Linked DNA regions of Arabidopsis thaliana. The main gene of each other region encodes a partner of the protein of the gene in region 4 in a complex. Each region holds a gene or a part of one and is shown on either strand. Other genes may lie near its edges. The genes, in order: PnsL1, NdhS, NdhT and PnsB1.

What was found.
Region 1: PnsB1 (region 4) and PnsL1 share a complex: the UniProt entries of both Arabidopsis thaliana proteins name them as parts of the chloroplast NDH complex.
Region 2: PnsB1 (region 4) and NdhS share a complex: the UniProt entries of both Arabidopsis thaliana proteins name them as parts of the chloroplast NDH complex.
Region 3: PnsB1 (region 4) and NdhT share a complex: the UniProt entries of both Arabidopsis thaliana proteins name them as parts of the chloroplast NDH complex.

Annotation. Positions count from the first base shown.
Region 1 is NC_003071.7:16,474,090-16,479,386, reverse strand, and holds PnsL1 (PsbP-like protein 2), read right to left. Parts: upstream 3,190-5,297; 5' UTR 3,053-3,189; coding exon 2,993-3,052; intron 2,911-2,992; coding exon 2,829-2,910; intron 2,744-2,828; coding exon 2,639-2,743; intron 2,546-2,638; coding exon 2,472-2,545; intron 2,386-2,471; coding exon 2,263-2,385; intron 2,176-2,262; coding exon 2,104-2,175; intron 2,020-2,103; coding exon 1,923-2,019; intron 1,838-1,922; coding exon 1,734-1,837; 3' UTR 1,544-1,733; downstream 1-1,543. Other genes in the region: ABCB6 (P-glycoprotein 6), read left to right, coding at 1-1,138; RPL23AA (ribosomal protein L23AA), read right to left, coding at 3,483-3,567, 3,656-4,019, 4,323-4,338. UniProt on the Arabidopsis thaliana protein: NDH shuttles electrons from NAD(P)H:plastoquinone, via FMN and iron-sulfur (Fe-S) centers, to quinones in the photosynthetic chain and possibly in a chloroplast respiratory chain.
Region 2 is NC_003075.7:12,419,436-12,424,088, reverse strand, and holds NdhS (NAD(P)H-quinone oxidoreductase subunit S), read left to right. Parts: upstream 1-2,624; 5' UTR 2,625-2,743; coding exon 2,744-3,496; 3' UTR 3,497-3,675; downstream 3,676-4,653. Other genes in the region: AT4G23895 (Pleckstrin homology (PH) domain-containing protein), read right to left, coding at 1-32, 129-283, 364-481, 566-629, 710-792, 888-993, 1,079-1,206; AT4G23885 (uncharacterized protein), read right to left, coding at 3,849-3,866, 4,051-4,196, 4,548-4,617. UniProt on the Arabidopsis thaliana protein: NDH shuttles electrons from NAD(P)H:plastoquinone, via FMN and iron-sulfur (Fe-S) centers, to quinones in the photosynthetic chain and possibly in a chloroplast respiratory chain.
Region 3 is NC_003075.7:5,929,133-5,933,980, forward strand, and holds NdhT (Chaperone DnaJ-domain superfamily protein), read right to left. Parts: upstream 3,344-4,848; 5' UTR 3,021-3,343; coding exon 2,695-3,020; intron 2,609-2,694; coding exon 2,185-2,608; 3' UTR 1,978-2,184; downstream 1-1,977. UniProt on the Arabidopsis thaliana protein: NDH shuttles electrons from NAD(P)H:plastoquinone, via FMN and iron-sulfur (Fe-S) centers, to quinones in the photosynthetic chain and possibly in a chloroplast respiratory chain.
Region 4 is NC_003070.9:5,486,699-5,492,459, forward strand, and holds PnsB1 (NDH-dependent cyclic electron flow 1), read left to right. Parts: upstream 1-2,446; 5' UTR 2,447-2,615; coding exon 2,616-3,040; intron 3,041-3,138; coding exon 3,139-3,289; intron 3,290-3,376; coding exon 3,377-3,567; intron 3,568-3,639; coding exon 3,640-3,897; intron 3,898-3,976; coding exon 3,977-4,082; intron 4,083-4,168; coding exon 4,169-4,254; intron 4,255-4,332; coding exon 4,333-4,501; 3' UTR 4,502-4,605; downstream 4,606-5,761. Other genes in the region: AT1G15970 (DNA glycosylase superfamily protein), read right to left, coding at 1-157, 261-402, 517-600, 688-745, 1,334-1,796; CNGC7 (cyclic nucleotide gated channel 7), read right to left, coding at 4,606-5,325, 5,395-5,743. UniProt on the Arabidopsis thaliana protein: NDH shuttles electrons from NAD(P)H:plastoquinone, via FMN and iron-sulfur (Fe-S) centers, to quinones in the photosynthetic chain and possibly in a chloroplast respiratory chain.

The DNA.
Region 1 (5,297 bases), on a different chromosome or scaffold from region 4:
TGTTGTCGCGTTCTGTGCCGGCAACAAGGTGATGGAACTCTACAGACTGCAACTCCAACGGATACTCAGGCAGAGCTTTTTCCATGGGATGGCTATTGGCTTTGCGTTTGGCTTCTCACAGTTTCTTCTCTTCGCCTGTAATGCGCTCCTCCTGTGGTACACCGCGTTATCAGTAGACCGCAGATATATGAAATTGTCTACAGCTCTAACCGAGTACATGGTCTTCTCCTTTGCTACATTTGCTCTTGTGGAGCCATTCGGATTAGCACCTTACATTCTCAAGCGCCGTAGATCTCTCGCTTCAGTTTTTGAAATAATAGATCGAGTTCCTACAATCGAACCTGATGATACCTCGGCTCTTAGTCCGCCTAACGTGTATGGAAGCATTGAACTGAAAAACATCGACTTCTGCTACCCAACCCGCCCGGAAGTGTTAGTACTAAGCAACTTCAGTCTCAAAGTCAATGGCGGACAAACAGTAGCTGTGGTTGGTGTTTCTGGTTCTGGAAAGAGCACAATAATATCGTTGATCGAGAGATACTACGACCCAGTTGCTGGTCAGGTCTTATTAGATGGGCGAGACTTGAAGTCATATAATTTGAGATGGTTAAGAAGCCATATGGGTCTGATTCAACAGGAACCCATAATCTTTTCCACAACGATCAGAGAAAACATTATATACGCAAGGCACAATGCAAGTGAAGCTGAGATGAAGGAAGCAGCAAGGATTGCAAATGCCCACCATTTCATCAGCAGCTTACCTCACGGATACGACACACATATCGGGATGAGAGGTGTTGAGCTTACCCAAGGACAAAAACAGAGAATCGCTATAGCTCGGGTAGTGCTGAAGAATGCTCCAATACTGTTGATTGACGAAGCGAGTTCATCTATCGAATCCGAGTCGAGCCGTGTTGTGCAGGAAGCTCTTGATACATTGATAATGGGGAACAAAACAACAATTCTGATAGCGCATAGAGTAGCGATGATGAGACATGTGGATAACATTGTGGTTCTCAATGGAGGCAAAATAGTAGAGGAAGGTACGCATGATTGTTTAGCGGGTAAAAACGGATTGTATGTCCGTTTAATGCAACCACATTTTGGCAAGAATCTACGGCGACATCAACTGATCTAAAAGAGATTGGACTCATGTGCCTAATTGAGATTAGTTCAGTCACATACCAACCATCATGTGATATGCCACGAGATAACGTTATTGGATGTAGTTACAGGACATGCATCTGATCAAAGGCTTATCGGGTCCGGGATGACAGCAGATGAGCAGAAGTTGTACAACCACGGTTAGTTTCTGTAAGCAACTTAGGAGTTTGTAGACGTTAGATTCCCTTATTCTTTCAGGAGGCTAAGCAATGAAGTAGGACTGTGTTATTTATTCATTGATTGGTCTCTTAAGGTATATCGATTTGTTTATTGAAACTGAAGATTAGAGGCAATTTTATTTGCTGAGGTTTGCTTTTTTGTTGTTGTGAGTGATTTAGGTGGAGAAGTGTGTAATGGCTAGGAAGAAATATGTCTGTTTTGTAAATACATTATTTCCACTTTATTTGCAAGTTTGATTGAATTACTGAACCAACTCAGAATCTAACTCACAATGCCAAAACCATCGTTGGAGTTATAGAGAATATGAAAATATCAAATTGTTATCTACAGACAGTTTTGTAACCACAGAGAGAGAAAGATATATAGGAGTAAGATGTTTCTTGTGTTTGTCAAATCTGAAGGATCTTCAAAGAGTCGGCCACAACTTGAAGCTGCTTTTTCACTTTCCTCCACCTTCTCTCATTTGCTCCAACTATGAGAGTGTAGTATCTGTCTGCAACATCAAATCAGTCATAACACTTGTTTATTCCTCAATTTCTTCTCTCATCTATCTCATAATTCTTATAATCTGTGCTTACTGTTTCCAACTGCCACTGTTGCAAAGGAAGTGGTTGCATAGATAGGAGTTCTTAGTCCATACTCAAACGTGTAATAGTTCTTTCCATCTTCCACCCTCTGCATTTTCATCTCTTATTGTTTATAAAGATCCAATCTCTCAACAACTTTGATGATTCTTTAAGATGTTAACAATCATCTGACCTCTTTCATATCGTAGATGGTAGCTACTTGGTTTGGTGCTGCAAACTTATGCTTCACTAGATCATAAACCACCTGATGAACATATATAAGAATGATGAACCAATGTGAATTCTCTAATGACATAGATGGTAGAGGGAAAGTAAGGTGTGTAATACATACCTCTTCCATAGGACCTACTTCATGGATGTCGTTTTTCTCCGTTGGTATGAACCTGACCCGCACATTCTGCAGTTGCAAGTATCTATCTTTGAAGGCTGAATCATGTGCCCTGAAGTCAAATTCCTACGTAGTAAGGGCAGAACAGAGATATTCTCAATTCATTTATGTTTCATTCTTTCAACAAAAATGGAAACAAAGCCATTACCCACCCTCCAGTCTGATGGGTAATAGTAAGAATACCCGTCTTCTCGATCCACAAAAGGCGAGTAGCTTTTTGGTATCTCTGCAAACATGATATGAATCAACATATTAGGCTTTTGGTCCCAAAAGAATGAAGAAGAGAGGCAAAAACAAAACCCTTAGTTTTGCAGATTACCTTCAGCAAGAAGCAAAGTTGCTGGAATTGAAGTTGCCACTAAAGTTCCTACTCCCACAAGAGCTTGCCTTCTCTTCCAATTGTTTCCGCTGCCTTTTTGGTAAGCTATTGAATTTTAATAAAAATCAATCCACACAAGTCAATGTATTACGTATGAGAAGGAAAATGTCACAAGAGTTTAGTTTCTTACTACTCTCCGAGGAGTCGGCCTTACCACCGGATGAAAGTAAACAACAAGCTTTGAGTGATGGATTTGGACAGAGAATTTCTGTCTGGTAAGAAATATGAATCAATGAACAATAATGATTTTTAGTTTTCAGAAATGGAGACTGGAATCAGAACAGTGTTATTAACCTTGTGGGAGATTGTTGGTGAGAAACCACCACAGCGGATTGAGAGTGAGGAGACTGCCATAGTGGCTACAATTCACAAGACTTTTGATGATCAATGAACATTGCCTTAGTGTTCTATGTGGATAAGAAATTTCTGATTTTCGTCATTTCTCGGACTTCTCCATTCATCAACATGTGGATAAAAGGATAATGAAAGATGCAAACAATATGTGGTGATAGATCGATTTATGATCATTTACTGGTTAGAGAAGATACTGCATTTGTATGTTTACAGTTTATAAGTTAGTGAGTTTTAAAAAGAGAATCTTGATAAGTCAAAAACATAGAACTTGAATTCAACAATAAACTGCAACATGAATGTATTGTAAAACGTTTTTGCTCCAAAATACTACAATTACCAGATGATAGTAATAATAAATATCTTAAAAGCAAAACTGAGACTACAAGAGACAAAACCACAATAGTCTTTATAACTGCAGAGATAGATAGACTTAGATGATGCCGATCTTGTTAGCAACATCCAAAGCATCATAGTCTGGTGTAAGCCTCACGTAAGCCTTCTTGGTTCCATCAGGCCTGTAACAAAACCAAACCATAGTGTCAAATATATTGAACATAATCAATCTCACAACAAGGCTTCATAGAAAAATACTCTTTAAAGTACCTGATGAGTGTGTTCACTTTCTTGGTCTGGATGTCATACATCTTCTTAACAGCATCCTTAATCTTCTTCTTGTCAGCACGAATGTCAACAATGAAAACAAGAGTGTTGTTGTCTTCAATCTTCTTCATCGCAGATTCAGTGGTGAGTGGGTACTTAAGGATTTGGTAGTGATCCAACTTGTTCCTTGGAGTAGCGCTGATTTTTGGGTACTTACCAGTTCTAGGCTTGGTAAGAGTCTTTGGCCTGTGGAAGGTGACCTTGGTCCTAATCTTTTTGTCCTTCTTCTTGAAGGCTTGACCAGACTTCACAGCCTTTGCCGCCTTCAAGGCCTTGGCCTTAGGATCAGCCTTCTTGGTAGTATCAACTGCAAATTACATACAACAGAGAGTTTAAGCATCATATAATACTTTGATACAAATCTGACTTCAATACATGAATACTCAGAAACACGTCTACAGACAAAATTCATTTGGATACTACATTAATCTCACTTAGTTGAAGCTAATCAGGAAGATATTGAAACTAATCACCTAACGAAACATGATTAGAAAACATTAATCGAGACCAGATACTAGCGGGTTCAGCAAAACTAAAGTCTAGTAGAAGAAGATCCAAATCCATCATGTTCCAGTGAAGATTCAAGTGGTTATCAATGAAAAGATCGTACCTTTAGCCGGAGACATGGCTTGAAATGATTCTTCACACACGAAATCTGTGAAATTTTTAGATAGAAACCCAGAAAGCGAAGCTCAGTAATGAATCTGAAGAAAGAAATGTAGGACGATTTCGAGAGATAGTTTGCAAAATCGAGACACGAACCTGGAGAGGTGAAGCCGCTGATTCTCAAAACCCTAACTTACGCCGCAACAAGTTTTATAGTGGAAACTGAAACCCTAAGATACTTAGTTGGGTCTATAATGGGCCTTTTTACCACAATCATCATCTAACCCAGTAAGCTTTGGATTGAATAAATGGGCCTTTTACCATAATCGTCCATCGGACGCATAAGCCATAAGTGACGAAAAATTTCATTAGAAAAAAATGAAAATGAGCATAAGATCACTGATTCTTTTGGTTGCACAAAAAGATACTTAAAAGATAATATGGGCTTGCAACATTGTAAATAGGCCTTTGACCAAAATCATCATGTAAAACCCAAATAGAAAGTGAGCGTAAATTTAAGTTACTAGTTTATTTTTAACGTAATGGTATTGGCGTAAGAAACATACAAACGTGTCTTTTGTCTTACCATACAAACGTGTCTTTTGGCGTAAGAAACATATTTGCTTCTTCTCTTGTGTCTATGACCTTTCTTTGGTTTTGCCATTCCAAAGTAAATTATTACAGAATAAAATTTAGTCAGCTTTGGTTTGACTTGAAAGCATACAATCTTTGACCAAACCAAAGCAAATCGAACAATGGCTAACCAAAAAACAAACCAATTGGTCACGAAACTAAACAATAATCATTTACTTACGCTTGACAATAAGAGAACAACAAGCCTGCTCTACATGTCTAATATTTTACGATAATTGTGAAGAAGAAAGCTTTAGCTGAACTGGCTTCTACCATTTTTCAAAGGTTCTTCTATATCTTGGGTCGGTTGTATCTAATACAGTTTTTATACTACATAATAGAGTTT
Region 2 (4,653 bases), on a different chromosome or scaffold from region 4:
TCAAGGCGCAAAACCGACAACCACGAATCAACCTAAAACCATACAAAACCGCGAAATCATTGCGTTCAAATGCTGTGGGATCTCTCAACAACAATCTGTGTGTAAAGATGTATATGTATTTGGTTCACCTGTGTTTTAGAGGTGCTTGAGCACTCAAATCTTAGACCTTGACGGGTTAATATGTAAAAGCAATAATGGGTTTCATCGAATTCTCTCGTGTAGCTTGGTACCGAACCAATTTCAACAATATCTGCTAGCAATGTCGAATCTTGAGGGCTCAAGTCTGCAATAGAGAATTTCAAGAGACATTACAAGAAGAATACAAATTTGAAACAGGATTGTAAAAGCTGAACCTTAACTCACCTGTTGACAATAAATAGAAGAAAAGACAAGGGCCTTGAAGGACGACAAACCGAGGAAGCCAGTCGTCTACTTCTGTATCATCTATTGGTGGTGGTTCACCCGGAAGAGCTGCCCAACGCTAAAGTCAAACAAAAAAATAAGGCAAATTTGTAAAACATCCTAGTGGATCAATAATGATAAGTAATTCAGAGTAAGGCCCTACACTTCTGATAAACAAATAACCAGATAAACGGGCAGAGCGCAAGACTTCATCCACATGTTCCAACCTATGTAGCAGTTCAGCAAGAAGAAATTGAGATATGCGCTTTTAATCTGAGAATGGAACAAATTTGAGTATATGACTTACTGGGCTTTGAGGTAAGCTTCTCTTTCTTCCATATCAGAAAGTTCTGATCTAAGTGATTCTAACTCCGCTGCTGATAGCTCGACCTGCCAATGAGAGAGTGATCAGGATTCAGGAGAAAACCCTGAAACTTCAATGAGGTGAATCAAAAACAAAGAAGAAAGGTGTGAGAGAATGGAACCTTCTCTTGACCATCTGAAACCCAAGGCAGACGGCGAAGAGTGAACAAATTCAACATAGTTGCTGCTCTTTTCAGGTTTCTGCGAGTCCGTGACTGGCTATAAGGCCTACTCTAAACAAAACCACCCGAAAAAACAATTCATTTCAGCTCAGAATTTCCCTTCTTAGCATATTTATTCGCTAACAATTTACCTCAGAGAACTATCGTCCTTTGGCTGCGAAGATGATGGAGTATCGTGCTGAGAAGATTCTGCTGTGGGACTAGGAGCACTAAAGTGATCAGGTAATATGTTTAGCTTCTTAGGAGTACCATCATCCATGAATTGAAACGACTCCAGAACCTTCCACTAGAAAATGAATCAAAGCTTAGCCAGAGATGAAACTACTCTAAAACTCTCAGCTTGTAGTACATTGATTCCCCAAAAGAAGTCGAAAAAATCACATAGTTAAAAACTTTTTTGTCCATTCAAGAGATGTCATCTGAGCATGATCTAATCTAGATTCTGATATGAGACAAACTCCTATATGAACTTTAGCATTCCATGAACATTATTTAATCTCCCTAAATGACTTGTCTCTCAGTCTCTATCTTATGCTTATTCTTATCATAGATCTAATCCACAAGTATGTATGTATCATCACTTGGAGAGATATATAACTACTAAAAATCCTTATTCCTCACTGAGGATCAAACATACCTCTTTATATATCTTTCAACGCCGAATTTTACAATCCCACTTCACCAGAAATTTTGATATCCCTTGTGAGAAATCAGCTCGCTGTAAAAGAAAAACAAAGTTCAGCTTCTACAAAAAGAAAGAGGACGAAAATGAACTCTTTCTTTTTCCCATTCTAGATTTTATTAGCTCAAATTAAAAACAACAGAATCGAATTTTCTGGAAACCCTAACAAAATACAAAAACATTGAGCAGAAATAGAAGCTCGGAAGTCGGAATCGAATGACGGGAACCTCGAATAATTTGAAAAAATTGACTGAAGAGAAGATCGAGACCTTGTTTTTACCTGATCGAATGTGATCTCTGTATTCAAGGGAAAGTGTTTACGCAATTGGTTTTTTGGTTGAGTGCTTACTGCTTCAGCAGGAAGAAGATGTTGGGTTTGGGAATTTTACTCATAAAGAAACTTTAAATTTGGTACCAAAAAGACGCTTTTATCCCCCGGTTAGGTTGCGTCAGCCAGCTCTACCCACATGGGCATTGCTGCAGATATTACAAGTTTTGTAATTTGTTAACGAATGTTTGTAAACTTTTGACTAATCTTATCTACAATATAATGAATTTATCGAATCAATGTAAAAGTTGTTTTCATTCATGCTTAATACATTAATTGATCAAAGTTGCCAACTAAGTATTTGGTGATGCCGATGAGTGTAAAGGACAGCCTAAGACAAAAGTGTATGTCTAATTATGATTTGGGAGTATGGGATTCCAATTATTAATGTCGTTGACCCAAATGATTTATCTTCTTCTTGCTGCTTTTTTCTTAATAAACAAACAAATCCACATTATTAGCATTTAGCAATATGTTTAATTACATTACCATTGTTTTTAATCTAGGCCCATATCTCTTAAGAATATTCAAACTTGGTCCAGGTTAAACTTATGACAAAGCCCAAATGTTCCTACTCTTTCTCCTAAATCATTATTCCAAACACCGGTTACGCATTAACCGGTTCAGGTCCACTGGTAATTTGGAAATAGATAGAACTCATCTAACTGAAATCATGATATGTGGTCATTATAACAAGCGAATCAATCACACGCTTCTTCCTTCCTCTTCCATCTTCTTCATATCTCCCTTAGTCACCTCTACTCTACTCTGCAGGCAAAAATAGTTATGGCGACTTCTTCGATCACTATCCCGACCATTAGAACTCCGATTCATCGATCAAAATTTCTAGGCCAAACACATCAATTTTCAACTGTAAACCGGTCGGTTTTCCCGCCTCCAAAACAGCAGTCAAAACTGTATCAAGTAAAGGCCATGGGTAAATTCAATCTATGGGAAGTGATGGGAGGAAGAGGATTATGCAACGGAGAGAAAGGTATTGAGAAGGAGCTCCAGAGGAACATTGAAGACGAGCAAGAGACATCAAAGGCTGAGAACAACGAGACAGAGAGAGAGAGCGATGACAGTAACTTGTCTTTTAAAGTACCTGAAGATGGTTTCGAGAAAGAGATGATGGGTCTCACAGGAGGATTTCCCGGTGGCGAAAAGGGTTTAAAAACGTTTATCGAAAAAAATCCACCACCTCCTCCACCACCACCACCTGCAAAACAAGGAAGCGATGCATCCGCGGTTGCTACAGATAAGAAGCCGAAAGCGCCCAAGCTACCCCTTCTCATGCCGGGGATGATTGCTATAGTCAAGAACCAGAACAGTCCGTATCACATGTATTGTGGAATTGTGCAGAGGATCACTGATGGAAAAGCTGGTGTCTTGTTCGAAGGAGGAAACTGGGACCGTCTCATTACTTTCAGGCTTGAAGAGCTTGAACGAAGAGAAAAAGGTCCACCGGGTAAGAATCCAAAGTCTTGTATTCTCGAGCCTCTTATCGAACAGATGCAAAAGGAAGAGGCAGCACCATAAGTGATCTTCTCTTCTCTGTATGTAAGTTCCTGTGAATGTATATGTAACGTACCTTTGCGTTTTAGGCTACAATATTTCTGACTGGTTCTAAAAGAGCTTCATCATGTGATATAAAAAAAAGAATAAACGATGAATTTCAATCATAAAGCACTTAATAATAGAGATTCAAATGCACTCAATCAATGATGAATCAGTATAGAAGTTAAAAACTGCAATGGAGTAGTTTTATTGTTATCATTGGTTGTTGTAAACATCAACCATATCAGTTTCTTCTTGACTATCGAGTATATTCTGTAAATGGTAAAGATGAGAAGTGATCCACCATTCTTGTCAACAGATCATGTTGAAATGATCAGATGCAGCCTCCCAACTGTAAAAAAAATTCAGAAAAGGATAAGGAAGTTAGAAACAGAACAATATTATTAAATCATGAAAAGGGTTCTCTCAACTTGTAATTGGTCACATAATTATAACTTAGTAGTTGGTCACACATTATACTGTTAGATACATGTTCATCTAAGTGTTGTTATACATGTCAAAATGAAGTTACATACCAAAATGGCTTCCATTTCTTCGTTTGAAACTGGCGTGCGCTTTGGCTGCGATGATGCCTTCCCGCCAGTAGTCTTTTGGATGTTGTTCAAATTGGAGAAGAACAATGTATCAGCTTCATTTGCCACCTGACTCTTTCCCTCTGAAGCTGCAATGCCAGAAAGTAAATCGCATAACAAACAGATGATTACCCAAACCAAAAGCTAAAAAACATAAGAGCTTCTCTATAATGATTCGAGATTTGATAACAAACACGATTCGATTCAATGGCTAAACAAATCTGTGTATCCTTTGAATCTAACTATGTAAATGCAAATCAATCAGAGCGAAATAGATCGGAAAGCAAAAATTCACAGCCAAATGAATACAATCTCATATCTGATTCATGAAAATGAAACCGTACACAAAAAAAATTCGAATCAAGCGAGAAAAAGCCGAGCAAAATTGTGGAAAAAATAACATAGATTCTGTGTAGAGAGTTTCATGGATAATCGAAAACCTGAAGGATTAATATGTCTCTGAGGGAATTTGATGCGAGGAATCCTCTTCAAACCGTGAACTACGTTCATCTTCTTTTCGCTCTTTCGTTCTCGTCTGTGTACCAA
Region 3 (4,848 bases), on a different chromosome or scaffold from region 4:
GTTTTTTTCAAAAAAATGATAAGGAGCTATATATATATATATATATATATATATAGGTACACACCTAAGACTTAAATGCTTTGTGTCTCTTTCTTATAGGTACAATATATCTCGCGGAAGAAGGCTACTGATTCTTTGTTTGTATAGGGGCAATTATGTCATATTTAATTTACAAGAAAATTTCCACCTAAATAACTAAATGATATGTGTAGATCCTTAATTATATATTCTTCCATGTATAGATATTTCATTCACCCTTTTGTTTATCATTCATAAACTATAATCCGCAGTAGTGCGAATTAAAAAAAAAAAAAGTTTGCGGTGTACTAACTACAGATAACTTTTACGTAGAATTTTTTTTATCCGCATGCGATTTATCGTCCGCTCTAAAAATAAAGTGGTTTTGTCTGTTAGCGATTTAGTGTGCTTTTTTCATTGCATCCATTGAAACCAAAATAGAATACAATAGACTAAGGCCTTGAATGTTTTGTAGATTTTGTAAGAGTTTTTAGATTTTGTTTTTCAAAAACTTATTTTTATACCAATCAAGATTATAAAATTTTGGTTTCCCTACAATTTAGAAAAACTATTTTGTTGTAGTTTTTGATTCATGATTTTAATTTTATAGTTTTCCTAAAACTTAGGGAATCTAGTTTTTACTCCATCAACGTTATTTTTCTCAAAAACTAAAAACCAATTTTTTGGGGTTTTTAAAACAAAAATATAATAACAAAAATCTAAAACTAAAATCTAAAATCTAGAAACTAAAATCTAAATCCAAAAACTGAATCGAAAATCAGCATCCATTCAGGGTCTAAACCAAAAATAAATCATCGAATCATAAATAATTTTTAGTTTTGATGGATTTTTGAGAAAAAAAATATTTAAAAATATTATTAATCTTGAATTTTACAAAAGAAACTTGAAGTCTAAAAATATTATTAATCTTGTAAGGACTGTCAAATGCTTTTAAAGTCTTAACAGTCCAATGTCAATCACCCCCTAAATAAATACTAGTGGTCATAGAAGTAGGAACCACTTTCCCCTATCTCCATTTTTGTATGAATCCATGATTCCATATTCACGTCCATGTTGTATACCCTATTTAAGTATAAAAATAAGAAGATAATCACATAATTTTTCTACCAAAAGACTATTGTTCTTATCAATTTCCATATCCTTGTTTTTCATTTTGTATCAGAACAAAAATTCGTACAATGACTACGAATAACAAGGACACACTTGATCAACTTAAAGTAAGCTTTGACGACGTCCAAGAGAAGCTCGTGAAGATGCATGTAGAAGTAGAAGTCAATGAGAAATTTGCTCACATTGAAGCCTCGCTAAAACAGTTCATTGAGACAATGACAACACAAGCCATGTTCCAAATCAAAATGTGATCGACGACATTTAGTACTTAACCGTTGACGTCTCAATTTGGGTTTCCAGTGAAAGGCTTATAGTGCTTAGTGTGCAGACAATTTTGGCTTCTTCACGTGCTATCACCCTTCATTTACTCAAACTAGTCTGAAAGAACAACAAAATCCTTTATCACTTCATCTAGTTCTATTAGCTTATGTGCGTTTGTTATGCGGATGGACTGAAGTTTGCTTGATAAATTATGCTTCATGTTTTTCTTTTGTCATGGGACCATTTATAGTCTTTTGATTATACTCTTAAACTGTTTTCATTTTTAGTGAAATATTTACATCTTAGGAAAAAAAGAAAAAAAAACGTAGTCAAAATGTGCATCGAACAGTTCTAAGGAACACGTCTAAGGAGGATTGAGTCAGGTGCTACATATATATAAGACTTGATAAAAGGGTATTGTTGCAAAAGGTAGTGAAAAAAGGGTAGTTTTGCAAATCTCCCTAGTTTTTATTCCTACTATACTTCCCAAACTAGTGAATTCCGCATTAGTTATCAAAACTACTATTTTGTTCGCTTTGTTTTATATAAATGAGACTATTTGGATTAGCTAGGTAAGCATAACAAAATATAGCTCTAAAACAATGTTTGGATAGCTTAGAAAAAATCCAAAAATAACACACACACAAAAAAGGTGAGGAACAGAACCACTAGACCACTTTATTTTAGTTCAAATGATCTTATAATCTGTAATTGTTAATCTTCCATCTACATATAAACTATATGAATTTTCCAAGTATATACAAAGCTCCTTACCTAGTAAGAAGGATCTTTGAAAACAATCACAAAAGCTATACAACAAACAGCGAATAATACGATCAAAATATCGAACGTGAGAGCAGTCATTGCTTGATCACTAAGCTCCATGTTTCTTCCACCTAACCGGTCAACCATATCAGGTATTGATTCATAGCCCCTAAAATCTTGCTCTTTCGGATCCTCTAGCTTCATTCTCATTTTCTCAGCTTGACGACTCGCAACTTCTTGAGCCAGTGTCCAGTCATAAAACCTCCGAGTCTCTTCATCGCTCAAAACATTGTACACTTCTCTTAATTTCATGAACTTTTCTGAAGCTGTTTTAAGTGGTAGTGAAGTTGTATCTGGATGATACTCTTTAGATAATCTCCGGTACGCAGATTTTATCTCTTCTAGATCAGCATCCGTTGAAACACCTAAGAATCTGAAAATGATTATTGTTACATGTTACAATACATATTGAAAAATAAAAATAAAAAGATATGTAATGAGAATGTTTGTTTTGCTCACTGGTAATGAGAATCAAAAGAGTCTTTGATTAGTTCTGCAAATTTTTCGTCACTAAGGAGATTGGTTTTGTCCTCATCAACCGATTTGGCCGGGTCGGATCTTCCTCCGATCCAGCCTTCGTCCGGGCTTTCCCAGTGGATTCTTGTGTCTACTCCTGGAGATGGTTTTGACGGTTTAGTCGGGCCTTGTGACGCGTATATACGCGTCACTCTTCTTGCTGTTATCCTTCTAAATGCTTTCGTGTCATCCGTGAAATGCGCGCCGTTTTGGATTTTGGGTAGGATAATGCATGAGGTTCGTGCATAGGTAGAAGTTGCATAAGCCATGGCTCTGTGTTGAAGATGGTTTGTTCTTTTTTTTTCTGCCCTTCATGTTTTTGGTTTCTCTTACCGCAGAAACTTGTTCCAGAACCTCATGATATGTGTGGTGTAGATTTTCTTTATATCTTTTGTTGTCCTATCTAGTGTCCATAGGAACAAAAAATTTAAATAATTAAATGTCAACAAAAAAAAAGTATGAAACGTAAAGATATAAGAGACAAAACGTTGAGAAGAGAGGGGCAATGAGAGGAAGAAATAATGTAGAGATAAATGATTTCTTTCTTTGGAAGCGATGTCTAAATATGTTATGCAACAAATGTGTGCGTTTGTAATATATATAGGGTAAAAATAGACAATTGTATCATAATTAGGATATGACCCGCGATATACCGTAAATTAAATTTATTTATTTATTTTTCTTTATCACAAAATATAATTTGTTGTTTGTTGTTGTTTGTGATGATTAATAATTATCGATAAGGTTGTGTATGTTTTTTATTGAGTCACAATTATGATATTAATAAGTCTAATATATGTTATTTTATCTTTTAGGATTTGACTTGTGATAGACCATACCACGGGATAATATTTTATTTTATTCATAATTTGTTATAAAAAAATTATTTAATATAAACTTTTGGTGTTTTCAAATTTAATCCATGGAACATATGTAGTTTAGTAACTTTATATTAAAATTACACATTTAAATGTATCAAAGAAGAATAACATTTAGAGGTGTCAAAGAAGATTAACACTTATACTAAAATGTTGATTTTATTTATTTTTTTGTAACTAAAAATTTGAAATTAAAATTGTATTTGTTATGTTATTATTGTTTGTTTTGTTTACTATTGTATAGTTGTAATTTGATTGTTAATTCTAGGAGTACACCCGTGGTATCCAAATTTTTCCCATCTAAACTCATAGCACCATATAATCTCGTCTCATCCAAACCCGTCCTACCATGTAAACTCGTCTCCTGTAAACCCGTCCCGCCATATAAATCCGTCCCGTGATAACTAAAAATCAAATTGTTCTTTTTCTTTTTAATAATATTTTTATTTAATATACTTCGAGTCGGTTTACAATTTCAATTTAAAAAGAAAAATTGTATAATATATTGAAATTTTAACAATTTCAATCTAATAAGAATCAATATCGGATCGTTTCGAAGATTTTATATCGAATTCTTTGAACAAAAAATAACACAATTTCTTGTTAAATATTTTGTATCTTTTAAATTAATGTATTTCCTATTTGTATATTTTATATTCAATATATTTGGTTTTGATATAAATTAGAAAATCCGTTTAAATAATTATTAAAATTTGAATCCCGAAGATATTTATGTGATTTTTTATAATTTAAAGATTGTTGTTGAGATTTTTTAGTGTCTATTTTTTGTTGCATTTATTTGTTTGCAAGGTCTATCATAATTAAGGTGAAGTTACAAAAAGATCTGTAAAGTATAATATCGTTCACATATTGATTATAGAATTATTTAGATTATTTTTAAAAAGGAAAAAATTACAACATATGCCATATTTTTTCCAATCCTTATGCAATCTGCCATAATTTGCTGGGCCTTACAACTCATGTCATATTTCATACTGAAATATCGATTTTGTCCCTCTCCATTTCTTCTCTATTTTATCTCTCCTTCCTTGAAATCTGTGCGCTTTAACCATATATTATTATCTTCCCGAAGATGAAGCGCTTTTGTCACTCTCTCACTTTCTTTGACAACCTGCACAGATTCTTTACATGTAACTTTCAATTAAATTTGTCTCTCAATTTTATTCATCACAATATTTCTGTTGTATCTAGATCTTGT
Region 4 (5,761 bases):
CGCTGCGAAAGCCTCTGCGTACAAGATCTTTGCTTATAAACTCAGCTTTCGATGTCTTCACAGGGACTTGGCGCTGATACCTGAATTGGCTCTGTGTAGGCTTGTTGTTCACAAAGTTCCACATGTACTTCTTCAATGATCCACATTCAGCTATAATCTGGATGAAGTTAAGAATTAACAGGCAGACAGATTATAATATTTAGACAAGTTCTAAGTTTTCAGTAATTATGATCAGTAAGTGTGAGCTTATGTTCTGTTACCTTGCGCACATGGCGTGAGTTATCGAGGATTGATCGTATCTTGACCTCTGATAGTAAGGAAATGGCAGCAGTACCTGGCGCTGTTAACTTTTTGTCATTCAATTCAGCTACAGCGACTGGATCGAAGTCCATAAAAACTTCCCTGTTTCAAATAAGAAGCAAATTAGGCAATCAGAGATCAGAGCTACTGGCTTAGCATCAGAAGTTTATATTGCGAATTCAAAATTCATATTACTAAAGAACTTGGTTTGGTTACCTGAGTATATGTCTTCTGGAGAGAATGTCGGTCCATGAGAGTTCGGCTAGAGCACCAGAGAGGCATAATAACTCAAAAAGCTTCCTACACAAGTTAACCAAGCGGTAAGAGACTCTTATAACTACAAAGTGTATCTCAGATAGAAGGAAAATAGTTGAGGATGCCACATACTTGTCGTCATGTACAGGAACTCCCCATTCTTCGTCATGGAAAGCAACATAGCACGGGTCTTTACAACGTAGAAAAACGCAACATTATTAGTCAATTTACAGCAGAGAAAGATATGAAGCATGAGAGAACAACAAAGAATAATGGAAAGTGCCTCTTGGCATGGAAACATTTATGCTCATTAGTATAGAGAATCCAGAAAACGCTGTTTGGCTTACACTAAAAGCATAAACGAAGTGGATCTATCAGCTAATCAAAACATCCTTCATCTAAATTTCATGGACACTGAGAAGTTAAAATATTTATAAGAGAACTTCAGGACAAGCTACTTCATAAGTTATGCAACATAGCAAATGATCTACACAATGCTCACTGAATAAAATACATAGCAATTGAAACATTTTGTTGGCCATTGAATTACTTAATATTCACATACAGAAGAACATAATTAGATCAAACAAAAAACACTAGCTCCTTGTCTCAATTCAGTCCCATTTGATTCAACTAGATAAGAACTTTATCATCTCACACAATCAGGCTAAACTCAATCTCACATTCACATTTTCACTCATTTCATTTATTTGAATGCATCTAAAGTCAAAAGCTCTCTCACTATGCAATGTGTGATAGGTGAAAGTTTGATGCTTACCAGCTTTAGGTGTGATCCAAGCACACCTTTTACGACCATCAGCGAAGCAATCACCAGAAACCTTCTCTTCTTCTTTCCCAACACTCAGCTTCCTTGTAGAAGAGACAGACCCACTTCGCCTCACAACCTTCTTACAGCTCGAAGAAGACGCCACGCTCAAAGGCGATGACTCACACGAAGACGAAGCATCAGAGGAATACGAAGCAGTCATTGAAGCACTATTCTTTCTCAAAATCGAAGAGCAAAGAGACGAGCATTGCTTCAGAGTCGTCCTTGGTGAAGCCGGAGTAGTTGGTTTCTTCGCTTTCTCATCTTTTGAGTCGATGATGGTCTTCTCCATCATCGGCTTCTCCAGTTTCATCCCCGGTGGTTTCCTCTGCAGCTTGTTCCCGGTAGGACCAAGAACTGATCGGAACTCTCGCTCATCGGAATTTACGGACCGGAATCTAGGAGGAACCGACATTGACCCGATTCTCACAAAAAACTGCTTTTTGATTTCACAGATCTATCACTGGATCACACAACAACAACAAAATTGCTATTTCCAACAGTCTCGAAACTTATTTCAAGAGATTATATATCGGAAGGCCTAGACTTTACAGCTACATTAGCACCAAAAATGAAACTTTTTTGTCACCGCTAAATATCTCATTTTTAGGAATCTTCTAGTAAAACTAAACCAAGTTGCTTGCTGTGTTCACGAGAAAAGCAAGGTTAGAAACAATGAGCAACAAAATAAAATCTTTGAACAATGAAGAAAAAAAAAGCTTTTGACTTCAGAAAAACCCAGAAAAAAAAAAGAAAGAAAGAAGCTTTTTCTGATCGACGACGAAACGAATCAAATCGAGAGAGAGAGACGAGGAGAAAAGGTCATTCACCAGTCACGACTTAACACGTCATCGTTTGGTTCTTCTGCTTTTTCTGTTCTTTTGTTCCTCGACCCGACAATGAAACGGGTCCTTATTGCTCGACCCGACAAGTTAAATGGTTTAATTGCTTACTGTAATCAGTTGGTTAATGCTTCTGAGTTCTGAGATTAGGAATGTTTCTTTGCTCGTGCGTATCAACCAATGTAAAGACAAAAGTTTTAATTAATCGAACAGAGAATAATTTCTGGAATTGCCATAACCAAAATAAATAAATTAAATGCTAAGTTTTCTTCTATGGTCGGAAAATTGCCACAAAAGGGACCCACTTATCCTAAGTTCCTACAGAGATCTGTTTTCTTTCACAACATTTAAAAATCCAAACTTTTCTTTCTTTGGCTCAAAAAAACCTTCCAATGGCTTCTTCACTTCCTCTGTTACCCAAACCCATTTCCCCATTCTTTAAAACGCCGCCGTTTTCTACCTCCAAACCACTCGTCTTCCTCAACTTTCAAACTCGTCTTACGTCGAGATCTTCCGATGTATCGGTCAATCTCAAGAAGAAGAATAATCCGTGGCTCGACCCGTTTGATAGCGGTGAAGACCCGGATAACGAATACGGGTCCTTGTTTGCCGACGGAAAACAAGACGAGGATCCAAGACCACCGGATAATCCTGATAACCCTTACGGCTTCTTGAAGTTTCCAAAGGGTTACACCGTCGAGCTTGCTTCTTTACCGTTGAAAATCAGAGGAGATGTTAGACGATGTTGCTGCGTTATCTCCGGTGGCGTTTACGAGAATCTACTCTTTTTCCCGACTATTCAGCTAATCAAAGACAGGTAATAAAAGTATAAGACTCTGTCTCCGATTCGACATTTTTTTAAAACCTTAAACTGAAATGCAGAACATTGTCCGTACGTTTCTGTTGTTTTGTAAGGTATCCTGGTGTTCAGGTAGATATATTAACGACTGAAAGAGGAAAACAAACATACGAGCTAAACAAAAACGTGAGATGGGCCAATGTGTATGATCCGGATGATCATTGGCCTGAACCAGCTGAATACACAGACATGATCGGACTCCTCAAAGTTTGTAACTTTCAAATATTTCAACGTTTTTTCTATCTTTCCTTTATCAGACTGCTTAGTTAACTTTTCTTTTAAGTCATGTTTCAGGGAAGGTACTATGACATGGTTCTGTCCACGAAGCTAGCAGGGTTAGGCCACGCAGCGTTCTTGTTCATGACAACGGCTCGAGACAGGGTTAGTTACATTTACCCGAATGTTAACTCTGCAGGAGCTGGTCTGATGCTGTCCGAGACCTTTACAGCAGAAAATACCAACCTTTCAGAATTAGGTTATAGCATGTGAGTTCCTTGAAACCGAAGAAACTGCAGGTTTTTTTATCGCCTGTCTAAATTGACTGTTGATGGTTTCAGGTATACTCAGATGGAAGATTGGTTAGGAAGACCGTTTAGGAGTGTTCCAAGGACTCCTCTGTTGCCACTTAGGGTATCGATTTCACGGAAAGTGAAAGAGGTTGTGGCTGCAAAGTATAGGAATGCTGGAGCAGTGACGGGGAAGTTTATAGTGATTCATGGTATTGAATCAGATTCTAAGGCATCAATGCAATCAAAAGGAGATGCTGATAGTTTACTTTCACTTGAAAAATGGGCTAAGATTATAAAGGGTGTAAGGTAATTATTACACACCTTCAAAATGTGAATTTTTTGCTTAGTTTGAAATTCTCTGAGATATGATTGTGAACAATGCCAGGGGATTCAAGCCGGTCTTTGTGATTCCACATGAGAAAGAAAGAGAAAACGTTGAAGATTTTGTGGGTGATGATACATCTATAGTGTTCATCACAACACCAGGACAGGTATGCATGCTTATCTGTCTGTATTTGTTATGAACAAAGTTGAATTCACTGATCTTACTTTGATTCCTTTTCTTGAGCTTACTTAGTTGGCTGCTCTGATAAACGATTCTGCTGGAGTCATCGCAACAAACACAGCTGCGATTCAACTAGCTAATGCGCGAGACAAACCATGGTGAATACCTGAGTAATATAAAGAGTACTGATTCAATGTTTTCAAGAACTAACATGTGTGTGCTTCTTTTTCTTCCAGTATTGGGTTGTTCTCTTCAGAAGAGAAAGGGAAGCTCTTTGTACCGTATGCAGAAGAGAAGAGTAACTGTGTAATTATTGCTTCGAAGACTGGAAAACTAGCAGATATCGACATTGGAACTGTTAAAAATGCAATGCAGGTCTTTGAAGGATCATTGGCTCTCGTGTAGATAACTTTACAGTTTCTGAAACAAGTTCTATATATAGAGCATTTATGTGTATAAATCAGTTATGTAGTCTCTGTTCTGATGTTGGCCTCTCATCAAGAATTGGATTATTCAGCATCAAAATCAGGTTCCGGAGGCTTTTGCAGATTTATCAAGGTCTTTGAACTCTCTGAGCTCCTAAGTCTGTGCCCTTTCAATGCATTAGCAGCAAATCTTGATGCAAATATCGTTGAACGCAGTCTAGAAGAAGACTCACTTCTTGTGATAACCATAGGCCTCTTGTCACTCTCATCATCATATTCATCTTCATAACCCAATTCTTCTTCTTTTTCTTCAATCCGTCTCAATTCAGCGTTTTTCCTTCTTGAATAGCGACGCCAAGCAGCTTGGATGAAGCAAGAAGCCCAAGTTCTCCATTGCTGAGAGTAAAACCTAAATGTTTGTTGAACCTGTCGACTATGAAGTCTCCTAAACTGACTTGCTACAAACTTCAGCTCTTCAGCTTCAAGAGCGAAAGCCTCTACTTCAGTCAGAGCCTTCACTGTTCTTGTGGAAGAAGGTAAGTTTGAGCCTGCTTTAGGGTCAAGAGCCCATGTCAGAAGCTCTTCACCACAAAAGTCTCCTTCTTTTAACAACCCTCTGTTGAAGAAACCGCTTCTTCCCCCATCTGTTGTTACACTTTCTAACCGGCCTCGGATTATGAACATCATTTCGTTAACGGGGTCTCCTTCACGCACAATGTAAGTGCTTTCCGTGAAAAGACTCGGCTTTAATCTCTCACAGATTGCGTCAAGTAATCTTTCATCCATATTAGCAAACAGAGGAACCTGTAGAAACAGAACACATAGTTAGTTAGTATCTCAAGCAATTTTAGCATTCTGATTGTGAAAACTTACCCTCCTAACTAAATTCAGACAGAGATGGCGTTTGATGTCTCTTCTGAGATCCTTAGGTAAACTCTGAACTATGTTTTCTTCGTCTACACCTCTTGTCTCTAACCATTTGTATTGATCATAGCGTCTGACTCTTTCCCTCAAATTTTGTGGAAGTGACCTGTGATGCATCCACTGTTCTGAGTCACGTCTTTTGATCCTCATTTCCTCGAGACGAACAGTAAGTGACTGAAGATAAGTCTGCATATTCCCGATGAGAAGCGCGAAAAGAAGAAGCCCAGCTATAGCAATCGCAATGGAAAACAAAACCTCTCCTGGAAATGTACTTGTCTGCAGCCCTTGACCTAACGTGCTGTTCATGAAAACACCA